Elephas maximus indicus: one gene and its partner. The protein of the gene in region 1 interacts with the protein of each later gene in a biochemical or structural test. Links are inferred from orthologs where the notes say so. Each region holds a gene or a part of one and is shown on either strand. Other genes may lie near its edges.

Region 1 (10,042 bases):
AGTGGATCTATGGAAAATGGCGCCTATGGCCCACACTGAAATTGTGCCCCATCCAAACATCTGACCCCTCTCTTTTAGATAACTTCACCATAATATCAGCTCAAGTTAATTAACACATTACCAGGCGTGAGGAAGGACACTGGGCTGTATTGGGTTAACAGAAACTGCTCAGTGGTGCCCCACGCCCAGGGCCAGTGCAATACCCTAGATATGCTAGACACACTGTCTCCCTTGTGTCTGGTCTGTGGTGACCTCTCCCCTCACTGCCCCCGTCCGGCCTCCGTCTTCTCACAGCTGGTTCCCAGCTGTGGGCTCCAAGGCCAACTTCAGGCCCCATGTCTTTGCTGCTCTTGAGTCCTCTAGCCACATCCGTGGTCAATAGCCTTGGGTCGCTGCCTCTTCTAGCTCTCCCAGTGGCTCCAAACTGCCATCCAAAAATTATGAACCCAGTGTAATTTCCATTCCCAGCTTCCTTTTGTTCCCCCATGCAGGCCCTCTCCTCCTCTGCTCTGCTCCTCCTACCCTGGGAATGTACCTCTCTCTGTTTTTAATTGCCTTCATTCTTCAAAGGGAAACCCTTATTCCTTCTGAATATTTGAAAGCATCATACACAAAAACCTTGATATTTAAACTTAAAGTTACATATTCAATCACTCAAACTGACTATTGGTGTTACTCTAACTGACTTATTCTATCAAGAAATCACATTTTGGCCTTTTGCATAAATTCCAAATTTATGCATAAATTTGGCCTTTTGTATAAACTCCCGACAGAGCCACAATAATGCATTAGAACAGTTTCCATGGAAAGGCTAAGGAAGGCTCTCCTTTTGAATCTTTCTCTTTTCCGTGATCACAGAGGTGAATATGCTCTGAGCGAATATACAGAAGTGAAAACCGTCACCATCAAACTGGACGACAAGAACCACTGAAGGGAAGGCAGGGTCCTTCCTCCAACATTTGACAACTGAATGTGGCGGATTACACTTGCCGAAGAAAAAAATGACATTTCTGACCTTTTTGTGACACTTTCTTCTGGAAGCTTTCAATCTGCTGGATTTGAATGCCTCTTCTCCTCCCACGCTAAGTTTTATTGATCAAGCTGTGGATGCCCGTATGTTGTGCAAAATTGCGTTCCTGCCTGGGGATGGCGCTATTGGCCATTTCTGTTTTGCCCTTTAAACTGGGTACCAGCGGACAGTGAAGATGCTCAGGGCACTGTTAACAGGAAGTGGTACTTGCAGTGGCCAGCAGCTCCTGAAAAATGTGTTGCTGAATCTGACTCTAGTAAGAATTTGGAAAAACTCCCTGCATGTTCCGCCAGCAGAGCCCTGCACCTACGGTCTCCTCAGGTTCACCTGTCCACAGAACAAGCCTCTCTTTCTGGGGGAGGGCTGACGGTACCATGCAGTGGGAAAAGCATTAACACTAAGTTAAAAAAAAAAAAAAGGCTGCAAGGATCTGATGGGCGGAGATTTGGGGGTTGTGGGCATGTGTGGGTGAGGGTCTTTGAGGTCTGCATATTTAGTGACCACGGCACTCAGCTTATAAAAACAATACTGCCTTTGGAATCTGACCAAATCGTAGCCCAAAGAGCATATTCTAAAAATGTGTCATTGTCTATCTTAACCAAGGCACTTTCTTAGGCAAAAAAAAAAAAAAGTTCTATCGCCTTTGCTGCTAAGGAGCCAACGCTCTGACCCTCCAACAGCACAGCGAATCCCCCGGTAATTAAGTTCCACATTTTACAAACACACCAAAGCAATAATTCATTTTAGGAATTCTGCCTTTCTACTACACTCCTTAATGGTTTATGATAAGCCTACATACTTATCCTTTTTCCAGTTCTGTTACCCGGTTTAGATTAGGAAAACATACGGAACTGGAAAGACGACTGTCATAATATAGACCTGCTTTTTCAAAGTCCTATTTTGATGTTAATTTCTGAGTAATTAACAGATAAGACATGGGCTCCCTGGAGGACCTGGGTCTCCTACTAAATCCAAGTGGTCTGAGTACTTTATAACAGGTTGTGAAGTTTTCTTTTCCTCTTTGTGTATCCAAAGGGTGTGCAATCCCATCAACTTTGACTTGGAAAACGGAAGGTGTTTCCATAGAGCTTTAAAAAAACAAAACCAAACTTAAATTGTGTTATTCGGACACTGTTACTGTTACTAACTAGTCATTTTCTAATGGGAAAAATGGTGCTTGTGCTTGACAATTCATTGGCGTGAGCACAGTGATAAGATGAAGCTCCATGTCACAACCTGTGTGTATAAAGAAAATCACGCAGGAAATGGGGTTATCATCCTCGTGAGCAATATGCAATGTGTACTTCACCTTCTCTCCATCAGTTAACACTTACATTAACAATTCACTTGTTAGGTCAGGATTAGACTTCTTACACTGAATCGTCAGGATTTTATCTCAACTAACTATAGACACTAACCTCGATAGTAATGCCTTGGAGGTTCTTTTTCTTCCATTGTACAATAATGCCTTTAATATGAAACTCTACATTAATTACGATTGGTATAGGGTCGCTATGAGTTGCAATCGACTTGACACCAATGGGTTTTGGTATAGTTAATTATATCTTTTTATAGCTGTAAGTACACAGAGGTGGTATATTTAACCTTCTGTAATATACTGTATTTAGAAATGGAAATCTATATCCTGTTTGATTTCACTTTTTTAAAGGTTTACCACTGTGGTATGGTTTAAAAATGTATCAGCCTGGAAATTCGGCTCCTACCTACAGATTGAGCTCAACAATGCAACAATGATAAAATAAACTTAGGTATTTGAGAAACATTATGTTGTGTTTTGTTCTGTTTTCATTTGAGAACTCAATCCCTTTTAATTCTGTGGCTGACCCCTCTTTCCTGGGTCTTCTGTACAAAATGTCTTGTAACAAAGCAGGGTCAGTAACTGAGGCTACAAGTCCCCTTGCTCAATCGATCAGGCCTAGTGCTTTGCCTGAGCGTGAAACCCATTCCTATCGGTTTTGGAGTCAACCAGGCAGGGAGCCTGGCTTCACTGTCTCTCTGTCTTAATTGGCTAACTTTAGACTGGTCACCTGAGCTGCCCGAGTCTCTTTTTAGTATAAAGTGATGAGGACATTTGCCATGAGTGTGGAAAGTGGTGGGGAAGATCACAAGAGAAATTTAGTGAAAATACCATGTCCCCAGTTGTGTGTCTAAGTGTCTGTTTTTATCACTTTCTTCACAAGGATCTAGGTGCTTGTGTTTAATTTACCTAACGTTTCTAAGACTTCTAACCAAGAAGCCTCAATCACCAAGTCATGAGCTGTCACTGAAGTTGGATCAAGAACACTCCTTGTACTTGGTTAGGTCCCCTGAGCTCAGCCTGTACACATAATGTTGAAAATCTAAATCACTCTTGCCGTGTGTTGACAAAGCACAGCTCCTTTAAGAGAAAACGAATCTGATCCCTCTTAAAATACATATGCATTTAGAAATATCCCGCTTCTCAATCCAGGTGTGAGCAGAAAATTATGGTAAAATGACATTTTATTTCATTTTGGTTTACCAGTGTATTGCTCCCTGAAGAGAACCATCCTGGGGACAATAGGTGGGCCATGGTGCATGTGTGTGCACTTGTGTGCCTGTGGGATGAGTGAGGGGGAGGCACGTTCTCTAACAGTGGCCCCTTTGGTGTACCCTTGCTCCTCCTGATGGTATCTGAAGCCTTTTGAATGTCCTTGCTCTTACCCATATGGCTAACTTGAGTTTGAAGGTGACCGGGACAGTGAGGGACATTTTTTTAAAAGCATCCATGGAGAAACATCTGAGGAAACTGAGTACCACACTGAAGAAACATAGCTAGAAGACATGGAGGGAACAGCCTGCCACTGTGCCTTCAGAAGGCAGAAACCGAAGTTTCTGGAGGCAGCTTCCGGCTGACCCACCTTAGGCGGGCCATTCCATTCTGAGGTGCTGAAAATCTGGGTAGGATGCTGAGTACAAGCTAGAGGACATGGGCCAGTGGGATCCAAGAAGAAGCCAAAAGGAATCTTAACTGACCTGTAATAGCCTTCTATGGGAACCTATGACTCATGCCTAATGCATAGAGTTGAGTTGAATGCCAGGATATAACTAGCTCAAAATAGGATATCTGAGTGTCAAATGTCAGCTGCTTTTCATGTTGGGACCATTTTTTAGCCTGTCTCCAAGCTCATTTAACAGGGAAGTTGAGTGGACCCTGCAGGTGTTGGCAGGGTGGATTACCTAATAGGCAAGGTAAGCACAGTATTTATCTTTCTTACCAGACCATCTGTAGTGAACAATTTCTCATGGGTTTCACCATATCTTTGATTGTTCACTACAGATTAGTAAGTAAACACAAGTAAACTGGTGCTTACCTTGCTTACTGGGTCATCCGACCCTGTCAGGGACTGTAAATTTGAAAAGAGGTTTTGATTCTGTGGGAAGGTGCTATGGTGTTGAAAGAGGGACAGATGCCAGCCATACCTGGAAGCAGAAACTTTGATGTGGTGAAAAAATGTGAAATAATCCTCCCCTGGTTTTTTTTTTGGGGGGGGGTGTTGGTCCAGTCCGCTCCAGGGTCACCAGCTAGGATCGTGCGCTTCATCACTGCGTCGCTAGGTGGCGGGGCCTCGCCGGGGAGGCGCCTCCCCGCCTACGCCGGGCTCACTCAGCACAGCGCACGCCAAGTCCTGCAAATTATTAGGGACTTTTCGGTGGCAGTCATACTGATGACCTAGCATATGATACTAAGACCCCAGTGGTGGGGATAGAATTGCAAAACTGAAAAGGCGCCGCGTGGCCGTCAGTTCTGAAGGCAGTCTCCGGAGAGCAGAGCAAAGCTGACCAGTGGTTCCCTCGCCAACCAGGGGCCCCCACCAGCCGCTATAAGGGACCACTACGCGGGGTGTCCGTCACGTCGAGCCAGGGCCCTATGGCTGCTCCGGTTTCTGTGAAATGGCAGCGAGGGTCGTAGCCGTTTATCGTTGCGCTTTGCGCTAAATCCTGGGAATGTTCCCATCATTACATTACATGAGAGGAGCCTATGGGGCTGGCCCTTACAGGGCGTCCATTGATAGGTTTTTCTGAGCGGGCTTCTCTGCCCTCAGTGAACACGCAGAGCCTGATCTGAAGCCTGCGTTGGCGTATGAGCCTCAATGGTGTGACGGACATCCTTACGTTAGGGTGAAAGAAAGTTGTCGTTATTCCACCACGTTTTACCTACAAACAAAATAAGCCATTAAAAACGATCCATCAAATAGTTGTGTGTTTGCATACATCCGTAATTAAATCAGTTAAATTCATGTAGGAGAGGAGCAGTTTGCAAAATATTAAAGCTTACAAAATACTCATCTTTGCCCTGTAGAAGGGATGTACACAAGGGAATTTCCGTATTTTTCATATTTACTGCCAGAGAATATGGCCAACACGCAAGTTAGAGTTAATTCGCCGATTTGGGTGCAGAGCAGAGTAGAGGGACAGGGCAAGCTGGGTGAAGCCGAGAACTAATTTTCTCTTCGCCTTCCCGCGTGCACCAGCGGACTCGGAGGAGGACTCCACCCTAGAAGGCTCCCCGGAGCCTGTCACCTTCCCGGGGCAGGGAGTAAGAAATTTGGCCACCTAGGTTTAACGACTAGGGAAACTGAGGCGGGGCACCCCGGGGCGCCTCGTCCCCACACCGTGAGAGCCAGCAGCGCCCAGACCCTGGGCGCGCGGCAGCCTCTCCCTGCGCGCCTTTTGCGCCGCCGACGCCCGCCCGCCGGCCCGCCCTCCCGCCGCCCGCCCCAGCGCCCTCCGCAGGATTGAGGAAGTGCGTCTGGTCCCGGCGCGGCCGAGGCGCGGGGGCTGGAGACGGTCGGACCTCCAGGCCCAGGCCCCCTAGTCTCCTCCTGGCTGCCCCGGGCGCCCCAGCCCCGCGTCCGGAACGACCGCGTCCCTCCTTTCCGCCGGCCGCTGCCGCCGCAGGTAAGCACTGCCCGGGCCCGCGCCGCCGCCCGCCCAGGGACCTAGCCGCCTCCTGCAGCCCGGCGGGGACCCGAGAGCCGGCTCCCACTCGCCCTGGCCCGTGCTCGGGCCTCTGCCTGCTTCTGTGCCCCTGGCCCCGCAGCCCGGCCCTGCGACCCAGGCGGCATCGTGGTCGAGGAGCGGGACACGGAGGCGCGGGCGAACCCCCATCTCTCGGCCCCGCGGCCTCCAGTGCGCGCGGACCCAAGCCAGCCCTCGGGGTGGGAGTGTGCGAAGCCCTGCACCGGACAGCACCAGGGCGGACGGAGCAGCGGCAAGAAACAAAAGTAGGAAATTGCGCCAGGGTGTATCCACGTTTCCTCTGCCTTTGAAGGAAACCTTCTACAGCTTGGAGCGGGGAATTTGTGTGTGCGCGCGCGTGTGCTTGTGAGGGCGTGTGCGCAGGGAAGGGGCTGTCCCAGGACTCTCTCTTCCTAGCCGCGGCCTCAGTGATGCGGGTTGGCTCAGCGCGCCTTCACCCACCACAAAGTCGGGGGCATTCTTCTTGCCCAAGGGTTGCGTCTCTGGCCAGATACCGATTAAATCCGCTTTCTCTGTGGGCTTGGGCAACCTCCCCAAGCGTGCTGGGGTCGGCGAGGTGAGTGTGACCCGGGGGTGCAGGTGTTAGGGAGGGTGCTGGGGGTTGGAGAGAGATGATGATGGAGAAGATGAAAGATAGGTGGTCAGCCAAACCTACCCCTTAGCCTAGTGAGGCCCACACCAAGGTTTTCTCCCACAAACTTTCAAAGTGTGGCGTCTGCAGGGGTCTGAGAGGTGGAGAAATCAGGAGCGTGGAGCTACGTTCTTAGCCAGCCCCTCACCAAACGATTAGACGATTTTTAGAGTTTCCCACTCACATGGTATCAAAGTTAATGCTGTCAGTAGATGTCATGTAGTTGATTTCAACTCCTAGCAACCCATGTGACAAAGTAGAACTGCCCATAGGATTTTCTAGGCTGTAATCTTTATGAACACAGACGACCAGGTCCTTTTTTTCCTGGAGCATATGGGTGTGTTCGAACTGCTAATGTCTCGGTTAGCAGGTTAGCAGCCAAGCACTTAACTATTGTGCCACGAGGACTCTTGTTGGTATCAAAGTATGAGGATCCTAAAGAGACAACTAGAATATGCATGATTTTGGGAAATGTTAAAGTTAAAGTCTTCATTATATTATTTTCATTATCTTTGCTTATGTCCTAGAACAAAAAAAAAAATTACTGAGTTGATAACATACAAACCCCACACTTAATATGTCCCTAAAACAGGTCTTGGGATGAGCCAAACCTTTCCATCTCCTGGGGAAGGCCCCATAGCTCAGTTGCTCAGAGGGAAGCCTAGGAATTAACCCTGGGAACATCCCATTCCCTTGTCCCCGGGATTCTTCCCGTTAGCAAGTCCTGCTGGGTCTACCTCCAAAGTGTGTCCTGGGTCTATCCGCTTCTTTCTCACACACCCTCCACTCTAGTCCAAGGTGTCAGGATCTCTTGTAAGATTCTTGAGTGATTTCCGTGATAGCTACATCTGATCATGTCACTATGTGCATGGAACCCTGTAGCGCCTTCTTCTTGTGATTGGTATAAAATCCAGAGGAACTCCTTCCTCTCACCGCTCCCCCACTGTGTGCTCCGGCCACTGCCATCGATGTTATCCCCCCAACCTCTGCCGCCCCGTCCACCCTGGTGGCGCTTGTTTGCCAGCATGAGGCATGGACATTGCTGTTCCCTGACTTCACGTGGCTGACACCTCAGGAGGCCTTAGAAGGCCTTCCCCGGCCACCCTCTACACCCCTCCTCAGTCTCTCTTCCATCCCATCTCTGTGTTCTTATGCCCACCACTATCTGCGTATACCTTCTTTATCTCTTCAATTTCTTCTTTAATTAGCGGGCTCCTGAGGTCAGAGACCATGTCTGTCTTGCAAACCACCGTGTCCCCAGCTCCCAGGACTGTTCTTGGCGTAGGAGATGCCCAGTGCATACTGGGGAGTGACCAGATGGTTAATGTTGTTGTTGTTATTCGTTGCCCCAGAGACAGCTCCGATTCACGGCAACCCCATGTACAACAGAACGAAACGTGGCCCTGCCCTACACCATCTTCGTGATCGTTGGTATTGAGTCCGTGGTTGCAGCCAATGTGTATTTTGAGTCTCTTTGAACCTAGGGAGCTCACCTTCCAGCAACTTCATTGGCTAATTTTTAGAAATAGATATCCAGGCCTTTCTTCCTAGTCGGTCTTAGTCTGGAAGTACTGCTGAAATGTGTCTACGATGAGTGGCCATGCTGGTATTTGAAATACTGGTGGCATTGCTTCTAGCGTCATAACAACATGCAGGTCACCACAGACAAACTGACAGATGGGTGGTGGAAATGATGAATGACACCAGCCTTCACTAACTGGTGGTTTGGGACTCAAGAAGTGCCTCTGTTGTCAAATCCTTGGGTGCTCATTTGGGATCGAGAGCTATATGCTCCTCCAGCCTGCAGATCCATGGTTATTTTGATATTCACAAACCTGTCAGATACATTTTGCAGGCAGACCAATATTGGTAAAGGGATCCTAGAACCATAGACCAGCCTTCTTGACCAGCCTACTACTATCAATTCAAAAAGAAGCTAGACTACAGGAACATTTCGAATATACTTCATTTGCCAGTGTCTTCCCACTCTTTGGTAAAGTCCCTGAGTCGCCCAAATAGTAAGCGCTCAGCTACCAACCTAAAGGTTTGCAGTTTGAGTCCACCCAGAGGTGCCTCAGAAGAAAGGCCTGGCCATCCCCTTGTGAAAAATCAGCCATTGAGAACCCTGTGAGCACAGTTCCACTCTGACACACCTGGGGTCGCCATGAGTCAGGGTCAAATCCACAGCAACTGGGTTTTATTTCACTGTCTTCCCTTTACATTAACTGTAAGTTTCGAGAACTCATGAAGTCGACTCCTCACAGAGAAGGGTTACTAACTATTTGTAGAATGAATCATAGGTTCCTTTTTTTCTTTTTCACCAAGTATTTAGGTTTATTCAATAATGCAAGTATAAGGAATTAGCAAAAGGAAATTGGTGAGGTTTAAAAAAAAAAAAAACCATTAAAACAATTATGATTTCTGAAAAGCGCCTGAAGCCCTCTTTAAGATGTATATACTGTAACAAAAAGAAAAAGTATTATTTGCCACCAGGATTTATTGCTTAGGTCTGAACCCGAAAGAAGCAGCAGAAGGAAACAAAGATCAGCTTGAGGGCAAAGACTGAGCAAAACTTGTGTTACCTCATCTTAAAACGTCTGCCTTTGAATGTAAGCCAAAATACAAATTACAGTTTAAAAACTGCTCCAGTGGCAAAATCCTCCATCGGTAAAGTGATTTTCAAAAGGAAACTGAAAATGAAAAGAGGAACAAATGTGCTGGGTGAAGGTTAGCCAAAAATATTTTTTTAAGATTTTTACTTTTTTTTTTAATTTAAAACCATTATGTGGTAATAAAGGAGCCCTGGTAGTGCAGTGATTAAGCGCTCAGCTGCTAACTGAAAGGTTGGGGGTTTGAACTCCCCAGTGGCTCCTAGGGAGAAAGATGTGACAGTCTTCTTCCGTAAAGATTACCCCAAAAAACTCAAACCCGTTGCCGTCGAGTTGATTCTGACTCACAGCGACTGTATAGGACAGAGTAGAGCTGTCCCATGGGGTGTCCAAGGCTGTATACTTTATGGAAGCAGATGCCACATCTTCCTCCCTTGGAGAAGCTGGTGGTTTGAACCACTGACCTCTTGGCTAGGAGCCGAGTGCTTTAACCACTATGGCACCGAGGCTCCTTCTGGGAAGTTACAGCCTTGGAAACCCTGTGGGGCAGTTCTGCTCTGTCCTATAGGGTCGCTGTGAGTCAGAACCGACTCGACGGCACGGGGTTTTGGGTTGGTTATCTTAGTAGCTGTTTTAGAGATTGTTTGGAAGCAAAGAGCAACTATGCTTCTCGGTATGGCTTGGAGCCATTATTTTTACTTTTTTTTTTCTTTTTATGTTTTTATTGTGCTTTAAGTGAAAGTTTACAAA
Region 2 (9,632 bases), on another chromosome or scaffold:
AAAGGCGCAGGGGTGTTTAGCTTTATAGTTAAGCACAGACTCAGACAGACCTGGGTTCAAATCCTGGTTCTACCTGCTGGTCAGCTGTGTGAACTTCGGCAAGTTAGTCAACATCTCTAAGCCTGTTTTCTCATCCATGAAATGGCTTTATTAAAAGCCTATGCCTCCAGCTGGAACAAAGAGTGAGAATAGTTGTATATCTTGAAGAATGTAAGCAATGTCACTGAATTGTACGTGTAGAAATTATTAAATTGGTATATGTTCTGCTGTGTATATTTTCAACAACAACAAAAAAAATTACTTTTAAAAGATGTGAAGGGAGAGTAAAGACTTCTTTTGATTAAAAAAAAAAAAAAAAAAGCCTGTCCCTTAAGGTTACTAAACCAAAAAACCACTGCCATTGAGTAGACTCATAGCGACCCTATAGGACAGTGTGGAACTGCCCCGTACAGTTTCCAAGGAGCACCTGGGGGATTCAAACTACTGACCTCTTGGTTAGCACCGTGGCACTTAACCACCACACCACCAGGATTTCCGTTCCTGGGGTTACTACGTGGAATAAATGAGATCAGGTCCTAATGTGTTCAGCACAGTGCCTGATATTAAAACAATTAGCTTTTAATGCTGGAGTCCCCACTTCCATGGATCCTGCCATCCTTTCAGGAAAGAACATGAACAGTTAAATAACAAAACAAGATAGTTTATGATTAAAGACCCAGATGCCTGGTACAGGGTGTACCTGCCATGTGAGGTCAGAGAGCGCAGACTTTAACTTTTAATAACAAACAGATGCAAAGTTAGTGCTGAAATCCTAAGCTCTGCTGCTCTGCCAGGTTCTGATTTTTTCACCTCTATAGTTGGAATCCACCAGGCGCTCCTTGGAAACTCTACGGGGCAGTTCTACTCTGTCCTATAGAGTCCCTATGAGTCGGAATCGACTCGACAGCAGTGGGTTTGGTTTTTGGTTTTTTTGACAGGGTGTATTTAGGGTTATCATCGAAGTCTCCATAGCATAATCAGAGCAGACATCACTTCTCTCCCAATGCACTTGACCATCAGAACATTCTAGAGAGGCCATTGCTCACATCCAGTTGGCCCTGGCCTCCCCTTGTCCAGGCTGCCCAGAGTAGAAGGGTCCACCTGGAAAGTATGCTTGGCAGCATGGGCTGGTCCCTGATAACACCCCAAAGACATGCAAAAATGACTTTCAGGTTCAGCTTGGGGTGAATGGTGCTTTCGCTCAGATTGAGGAGAACTGGCTGTTCTGCTCTGCCAGCTCATGTGTTCCACGGGAGATGGATTAAATCATCCAGATTTTCATCCAGACACTGAATGAAAGCTTTCGGGTGACATTTTCATTTAAAACTCACCATTGTAGGTGGGCTGGAGGCCCGGTCTGCGACCTGTGCTGGGACTCCGCCAGTCTCTTAAACCCTGTTCACAGGATTGATCTGTAATCCTCCATGGCAGGGCCTGTTGCTGCCCTTGTTTCTTCAGCATTGAGAAAAATATGTGCACGAACCTGGATTTTTGAATTACAGTTTTTAATTTGTTTCCCTTGGTGATGAACAGGACTAAACAATCAGGTCACGTATCATATTTATTGAGTGCCTGGCTGTGTGACTTGGAGCAGGTTACTTCACTTCTCCAAACCTTAGTTTCTTCACCTATAAAAGGAGAATCATAATAACGCCTACATCGTAAGGTTGTTGAGAGAACTGTCCTATGTTTGGTTCCCCAGGAAGCAAACGCCAAGACAAGGTAGCAAGCAGGTTGCTTATTAGGGAGTGCGGAGGGCAGGAAGCAGGATTGGGCAGAGGGAGGAGTTGAGCTGTGATGTAATCCCAAGGAAAGCCATCAGCCAGCCCTGGAGCTGGGATTGCCTTTCAGAACTATCCTTAGTTGGGACAAAGGGTCGGGGCTTTTTATACCCCTTGGTAGATCAGTCATTCCACCATCAGTTTGTCAGCTTGCCATACTGCTATGGCTTGTGTGCTGCTGTGATGCCGGAAGCTGTGTCACTAGTATTTCAAATACCAGCAGGGTCACCCATGGTGGACAGGTTTCAGTGGCACTTCCAGACTAAGACAAGGAAGAAAGGCCTGGCGATCTACTTCCAAAAATGAGCTAATGGAAACCTTATGGATCACAGCAGAATATCGTTTGATATAATGCTGGAAGATGAGCCCGCCAGGTTGGAAGGCACTACACAATAGCTGCAACAGTGGACTAAAAAATACCAACAGATCATGAGGCTAGTGCAGGACCGGGCTGTTATACACAAGGTCCTGTGAGTTGGAGCTGACTCGACCGCAAGTAACCACAACAACAGATCAGTCATTGGATGCGGGTTGCCCCTGGAAGGAGGTATGACCTTGGAAAAGGCAATTTTCTCCAGCTGAGCCAATTCTCAAAGGGGACTAACAGCTGAGAGAGGTCTTCCTGTATTGTTCTTGGCAGGTAGGGAATAAGACCCTTATTCCTGGAAGGGGATCTGGGCAGCTCATCCCAGCCTCCACCTCAAAGATGAAATGAAACAACTAACATAAAGTCCTTAACACACAGTACCTGGATTACAGTAAGCGCTCAATAAATGGTAGCCATTACAACTGTTAGCGTTGTGCTAGATGCTGGGGATACAGTGGTGATCAAGATTCCGCTCCCGCCTTCCAGAAAACTTGATCCATGAGCACATCAGATGATCCAATAAGCAATTTCCATGTGGTGTAATTGATAGGGTGGCAAAGGATTTATATGGGAGCACTTAGAAGGGACACATGACCTAGACTAGGAAGGCGGAGGTGAGTGATGTTGAAGACGATACCTGAAAATGAAGAGAAGTCAGCCAGGCAAAAGGAATGGGAGGAGCTGGAATGGGTGTGGCTCTATAGATGTAAAGATAAAAAAAAAGATGTATAAAAAAAATGTATAGGTGAATTAAATTAAGACTGACCTCAAGGCATACACTAGGCGTGGTTTTTGAATTATTCACACGTATCAGCTCACTATCCCATTCACTCAACGAGGATTTATGAAGCATCTTTATTCAATATGTCAGACAATGGACTAGGTGCTGATATCGGGATGAATGAAAGCCAACTCCTGTCTCAAGGAGCTCACAGTCCAGCAGAAGACGTCAAGGTAATTAATTCCGAACTGTTCAACAGGCTGTTAAGGCAGAGGGAAGGGCAGCGACCTCAGACTGGTGGTATGGGGCTGTTTTTCTCACAAAAAGTAGAGAAATTCTAAACAGTCAAGATTTTGAGTTAGTTGATTTGATAAGTAATCACTGAGATGGCTCCAGGCAGCAAGCTTAGACAACTCTTCCCAAGTCTCTTTCTGTAAAATTTATATTTATTGAAAGCACCGTGGCTGGGAGGTACTGTGATTCGCTCTTCGAGGAGAGACTGGATGGAGAGCAGAAATCCTCATTTGTAGAAGGGATCTATGGTCATCTGGCTACACCCTTCTGGCCTATGAAAAGTGGCTAAGGCTGACGGGAAAGTCTGAGCACAAGTCAAGTTCACTGCCCAAAACTCAGAGGATTAACACCTGAGTCTTGTTCTTATTGCTAGTTTTTTGTTCATTTGGTTCTAAGGCCTCCACTGAGCTAAATCACCTGCTTCTGGACAAAGACAAAGTCTTTTCTTATCATGAGGAATCTGTAATAAGACAGACATGCTACTCATTATTCAGCATGGCTCAGAGGGGCTTCTTCCAATCAGCTCTCCAAGACTCAGGGCTCTGCTTTAGACAAACCTATTTGAAATCCCTGGAGGACTACAAAGGAGGCCCGATGGTGCAGTGGTTAAGCGTTTGGCTGCTAATGGAAAGGTCAGCAGTTTGAACCCAACAGCCACTCTGTGAGAGAAAGATGTGGCAATCTGCTTCCCCAAAGATTTAAAGCCTTGGAAACCCTACGGGGCAGTTCTACTCTGTCCTACAGGATCCGACTATGAGTTGGAATTCGACTGAATGGCAATGGGTTTGGTGTTTGGTTTGGTGGAGTACAGTCCTCAGAAGCAGCTATGTTATTCCCAGAGGAACCTCCTTCCTCTCTGCTTCTATCAAAAAAAAAAAAAAAAAAAGGCCAGTGAAGAATGCTCTCAGTGCTTAAACTGTAGTTGTAGTGGAAAGTAAATTGAACAAATGAAGAAAATAGAAATACAAATTCACTTTGAGTTTGATTTTCAATGAACATAAACATTTATTGAATATGGGCTCTGGGCGGTGTCCTGTGTTCAGGACATCGGATGCAAGAAAGCATAAGACACTGACAGGTCAACTTGAGGGCCCAGTTTCTTCAACAGTAATTTTCTTTTGGTAAATTAATGCACTGCCATTGGGGTTTATACATCAGTCTCTTGTGTGTTTGGTTACCTGAGTCAGTGTCTGGGGTCTAATCACCTTTCTGTTTTCAGGAAAATGAGTTTTTTTTTTTTTCCCATTCAAAGCCGATAAGTATACTTTTTAAAGTGGGTATCATTCCTTTGGAAATGATTGGCAGGCCTCCTTAGGGGTCATTTGAGGGCAGGAAGAAACAAGAGGTGTTTCTGAGGGCTACAGACCTATTCTCTGAATTTGAGTTGGAAACTGGGCCTAACATTATTCCAAGGCAGCTTCTCAAACTTTCTGGGAAGGCATTGAGTCGACATGCCTAGAGGTCTAAATTGGAACCTCCTTAACATTCTCTCTGTGGGACGCAGACCTCCCAGGGGAGCCAGGGCGTTCTGTTGAAGTTACAAGTGCAACCACCATTGAATCAACCAAACAGAAAATTTTAATTGTACGTTTTGGTCTCTACTTTCCAAATGAAGGTCAAGCTTTAAGATTTCACCTTTCACTCTCCTAGCAAGAACCTCTACCATAAATAACGATCAAAACCCAAAAGAATGTGATCTTTAAAGTTATTCACCGCAATTAAAGTTTCTGTATTTGAGATATGACGTTCGAGGAGAATAAAACCATCGGCTGGAGCAATCTTTTTTCCTTCTTTAGGTTTCAGAAGGCAGGCAGGTGAGTTCCCACTGCGGCTCCATCTTCTGCCCGGCTTTGTTCAGTGTCCAATCAACGTTCCAGACCACCCCCTCCCCAAACAGCCCTCAAGCTCCATGAAAGAAAGTGATTAAAACGTAACTGAGCGACGCCCCTGTTCCCAAATACCGGTGTGTCGGTGGCGGAGGGGGGGCGGAAGGACCGTAACATCTCCAGCTCAAAACGACTTTAAAGGCTAACGATGACTTTGTTTTTATGAAAAGAAGGGGCAGCAGCCGCACGGCGCGCGGACTCCCAGTCCGGGGACACCCACGCGACGCGCAGGGGAAGGAGCGAGTCTGAAACCCGAAACCCGCCCGGGGACCCCAGGCAACGCCCTGGGGGCTCGCACGGCCTGGGTGCGCCCCGCGGCCCTCTCGGGGAGGGGTGGGGGAGGGGAGTCCGGCCTGGCCCCGCCCCGCGCGCCACGATTATAGCCGATGACTCAGGGCGGAGCTCCGCATCCAAGCCAGGCCGCCGCCAACTTCTCTGGATGGGACCAGAAGTTTCTAGCCGGCCAGTTGCTGCCTCCCTTTATCTTCTCCGTCCCCTTTGGCAGCAAGGAGGCTATTTCCAGACACTTCCACCCCTCTCCGGCCACGTCACCCCCTCCTTTAATTCATAAAGGTGCCCGGCGCCGGCCTCCCGGACACGTCGGCGGCGCAGGACTCAGGCTCCGGCGGCGGAGAGGTCCCCGCGGCGGCGGCCCAGCATTTCGGCGCCTGGAGGCCCGGCACCGCGCGAGCCCGCACCCCGCGACCCGGCACCCAGTTCTCTGGCACCCCGTGACCCGGCACCGCGCACTCCGGCACCCCGTGACCCGGCACCCCAGCACCCCGAGACCCCGCTCTCCGGCACCCCGGCGGCCGCCCTCCGGGCCGACCCCGACAAGCATGAGCGCAGCCACCCACTCGCCCATGGTGCAGATGGCGTCCGGCAACGGCGCCGGCGACCGCGACCCCCTGCCCCCGGGCTGGGAGATCAAGATCGACCCGCAGACCGGCTGGCCCTTCTTCGTGGACCACAACAGCCGCACCACGACGTGGAACGACCCGCGCGTGCCCCCCGAGGGTCCCAAGGTGAGCTGGGCCCGCGTCCCCTCCCTGGCCGGCGGCCCCACCTCGATGACAGGCGGGGCCGCAGCGCCGGGGCTGAGCCTCTGCCTGTGCCCAGGCCGGGAGGTCGGTGGAGGCCACCTCGGCGGACGCACAGCCCTCGGGGTGACAGCCCTCCCTGTCCTCCCCGGGGTCGCCCGGCCCCTCGAGCTCGTCCTGCCGCGCTTAGGGAGGCCCCTCCGGATACGCCCTTGACAGGCGTCGGGGCGAGGGCGAGGCCCCGGAGGCGACAGTCCCCACCGCGCCGCATTTAGTTTTGGGGGACGGGGGTGGCCCGGGCCCGTCCACTGGGTCGAGTCGCGAGGCGGGGCGGGGGGAGGGGGGAGCTGGCCTGGGGCCTGGTGCACCGAGGCCCCGTCCGTCAGGCCCCGCCGCAGGCGCCTCTGCCCGCCCGGCTTCTGTCCCCAGATCCTCAGCCGGGGGACCGAGGGGCCGCTCGCACACTCGGGCGGTGGTCTTGAGGACTTTGCTTCTTTAAGGCCCACAATTTGGCTGAGGGGGTCTCCTGACTTTACTCTCTCGTCTCGGGGACAGAGTGACTCAGGAGGCTGGTGTAAATACACAAGTTTTTTTTTTCTGTTTTTGAAATTGAAATTGTTTTATCGTGTGGAGTTGTTTTCAATAAGAATGTGTTCTAGTTTGACTTCTTAAAAACAGTATACTCTTAAGGCAGTTTCTACCCAAAGCCCTGAGAATGTCGCTCCTAGTTGTCCCTCGCCTTAAAACATTGCCTCACGCTGGAGAGACAGCCAATGATTTTTTTTTTTTAACGGCATACATTCCCTTACTTGTTATGCTATTAAAATGTTTAGGATTTGTTTCCAATACACAAATATAACTAAATAGTAATAATTTGGTAAGGAGCCCTGGTGGCGCAGTGGTTTAAGCGCTCAGCTGCCAACGGAAAAGTCTGCAGTTCCAACCCAGCAGCGGATCCAGTGGAGAAAGAGGGGCAGTCTGCTTCCGTAAATATTTACAGCCTTGGAAACCCTATGATGCTGTTCTACTCTGTCCTGTAGGGTCGCTATGAATCAGAATCAACTCCAGGGCAGTGGCTTAATACTCTGTGAATACCACAATATTCCTTGTTTACATACATGCAAGGATTTATACTTCTCAACCCTTAAGAGCATGAAAATTTGAAAATATAAATTTGGAATGAGTCTGTTAATTTAAAAAAATTGTAATTAAATGTGCCACTCTTGTAATTTTCTATAAATTTGAAATTTTTCAGAATAAGTTTTTGAAAAATAAATATACTTAGACAAAGGGTAATTGTTAATACTGTCTGTGCAGTGAAAAACTGGTAAATTATTTTGAAGATTTTAAAAACTCACATAAAGTTCAAAATGCTTTATAAATCAGTATTTCAGACGAAAGACCTGAATGTCCCACCTTCAGTTTTGGGCACTTTTTTGCCCACAGATACTGATAAAACTGTTGTGCCCAACAGCGAGACGTACATTCAGCAATTTACGTTTACAAGGAATTAGTTGTATATTTATTTCTGAAAATTACTCCACAAGGCTGTAATTAGCTGGAGTGGACGTAATTGTGTATACCTTTTGGTGTGCCTGTTCAGCCCCATTAATGGGTGAAATTTATGTCGCTGTCAAGCCAGTTCCTGTGACTGCAGTCAGCATGGCTGCAGAAGACCTTTAGTATGCTATAAAGCTATTATTTTGAGGCCTACTTCCTATAGAGGCCGACTCTGCCGGCAGCCTTTGTCCTGAGTGAAGATCAAGTTGGAACACACACTGTGAGTGCAGTCAGTATAAGACCCAAATTGCCAGCGCTTTGTTTTCAACATGGAACTCACCTGGCTAGTTGGGATTGCCTGCTTGCTTTGCTTCATGGACCCGCCCCTAGGGTGGATGGATTATGACTGTGGTTTCATAAAGCTTTTTAAGGGGGGGACAAGTTGAATTACTATTTCCAAAAAAATAGAAAATAAAAGCTACTGAGTCAGAAGTCTGACAATGGAAACAGAATTTTAAAGTTGAAAGGCCCTTAAAGATCGTATAGTTCAGCCTCTTTATTTTCCTGGTAAAGAAACCCAGAGAGTTACGGTAGGCTTCTCAAGGTCACTCAGCTAGTGCTAATAGCAAAGAGAGAACTATACCAAAAAGCCTCCAGTTTCTAAGAACAAAAAAATGGTTCACAGCCCTAATGAGAGAGAAGGTAGAAGTGTCTTGAATCTTTATGAAGCTGTGAAGCATGAAAGTTAAAAACTTGATTATCTTTGTGTCGTGCCATCCACCGAGTACAGGATTACCAACCTCTGTACCCTGGTTGCTCGGGATGGTGGTGACTGGATGTGATTAACTCAAGAAAAGCACCGTTTATCAAATGCGCTGCTTGAGATTTGGCAGCAGCATGGCACCAACCCTAAGGACAAAACGAATGTGCAGTCCACGAGCCGTTTGGGCTTCCTTGCTTTCAGAAAGCCTGTGCTTTTGATATACCAGAATATCTGGGTGACTAACTCAGTTTCAGGAGTCCCGGAGGCCTGCAATGGTTAAAGCACTCAGCTGTTAACAAAAAGAATGGCGCTTTGAGTCTACCCAGAAGTGCCTTGAAAGAAAGGTGTGGCGAGCTACTTCCAAAAACTCAGCCACTGAAAACCCTAGGGAGCAGAGTTCTAAGCTGACCCACGTGGAGTCACCATGAGTCGGAATCAACTCAACAGCAACTGTTTTTTTTTTTTTTTTTTTTAATTCAGTTTCACTTACATGAATTTCACTTTACTCCAGGTGAAATACAATGGGAAATTTTTCAGTATTATTTTATGTTAGAAATTGGTTTCTTAATGCACAGTGAGAAAGGATTCTGGCATAAAGCAAAGCGCAGATTTGGGGGGAGCAGAGTCCGCCCCCACCCCCAGCACCCTCACCTTGAAGAGGAAATGTGCTGAGCATCTGCGGTTTGCAAAGCACTGCATCTGGGGGGACTCTACTTCAGGATGTTTATGGTCTAACCGCGTTGGTAAAGAGATGGCTTTTGTGGGAAGGAGAAAAGGACTGCAGCTTCGTGTTTTATTTGCGACCTTTTATACTATGTCGTCTCACAGTTGACCCTCCTATATTCCCCTGAAACTGATAGAGCAACTCTTGTCCTCATTTTTACAGAGGAGGTGAGCGAAAGCAAGAGTCTTACCCTTCATTGCAGAACCAGGAGGGCTGCAGGCAAAGACTGTGGGCCTTATTTACCCAGTTCCATTCTAAGCTCCAGAAACCCTCGTGGTGGTGCAGTGGTTAAGAGCTACCATTGCTAACCAAAAGGTTGGCAGCTCAACTCCACCAGGCCCTCTTTGGAAACCCTATGGGGCAGTTCTACTCTGTCCTATAGGGTTGCTATAGGTCAGAATCGACTCGACAGCAACGGGTTTGGATTTTTTTTACTCTAAACTCCTGAACCTCCTCCCTGCAGTTTTCCTGGGTTTCAGTTTTCTACGCACTTGGGCTTCCCACTAGTCTCCTGGCA

What was found.
Region 2: the proteins of LRRK1 (region 1) and BAG3 form a complex in vitro, tested with the Homo sapiens proteins (2 studies listed by BioGRID and IntAct, with this or other methods). The link is inferred for Elephas maximus indicus from reciprocal best matches to the Homo sapiens genes LRRK1 and BAG3.

Annotation. Positions count from the first base shown.
Region 1 is NC_064831.1:92,682,831-92,692,872, forward strand, and holds the start of LRRK1 (leucine-rich repeat serine/threonine-protein kinase 1), read left to right. Parts: upstream 1-5,881; 5' UTR 5,882-5,971; intron 5,972-6,318; exon of another isoform or gene 6,319-6,608; intron 6,609-10,042. Other genes in the region: ALDH1A3 (aldehyde dehydrogenase family 1 member A3), read left to right, coding at 859-931.
Region 2 is NC_064834.1:70,241,336-70,250,967, forward strand, and holds the start of BAG3 (BAG family molecular chaperone regulator 3), read left to right. Parts: upstream 1-5,485; 5' UTR 5,486-5,927; coding exon 5,928-6,113; intron 6,114-9,632. UniProt on the Homo sapiens protein: Co-chaperone and adapter protein that connects different classes of molecular chaperones including heat shock proteins 70 (HSP70s), e.g. HSPA1A/HSP70 or HSPA8/HSC70, and small heat shock proteins (sHSPs), e.g. HSPB8.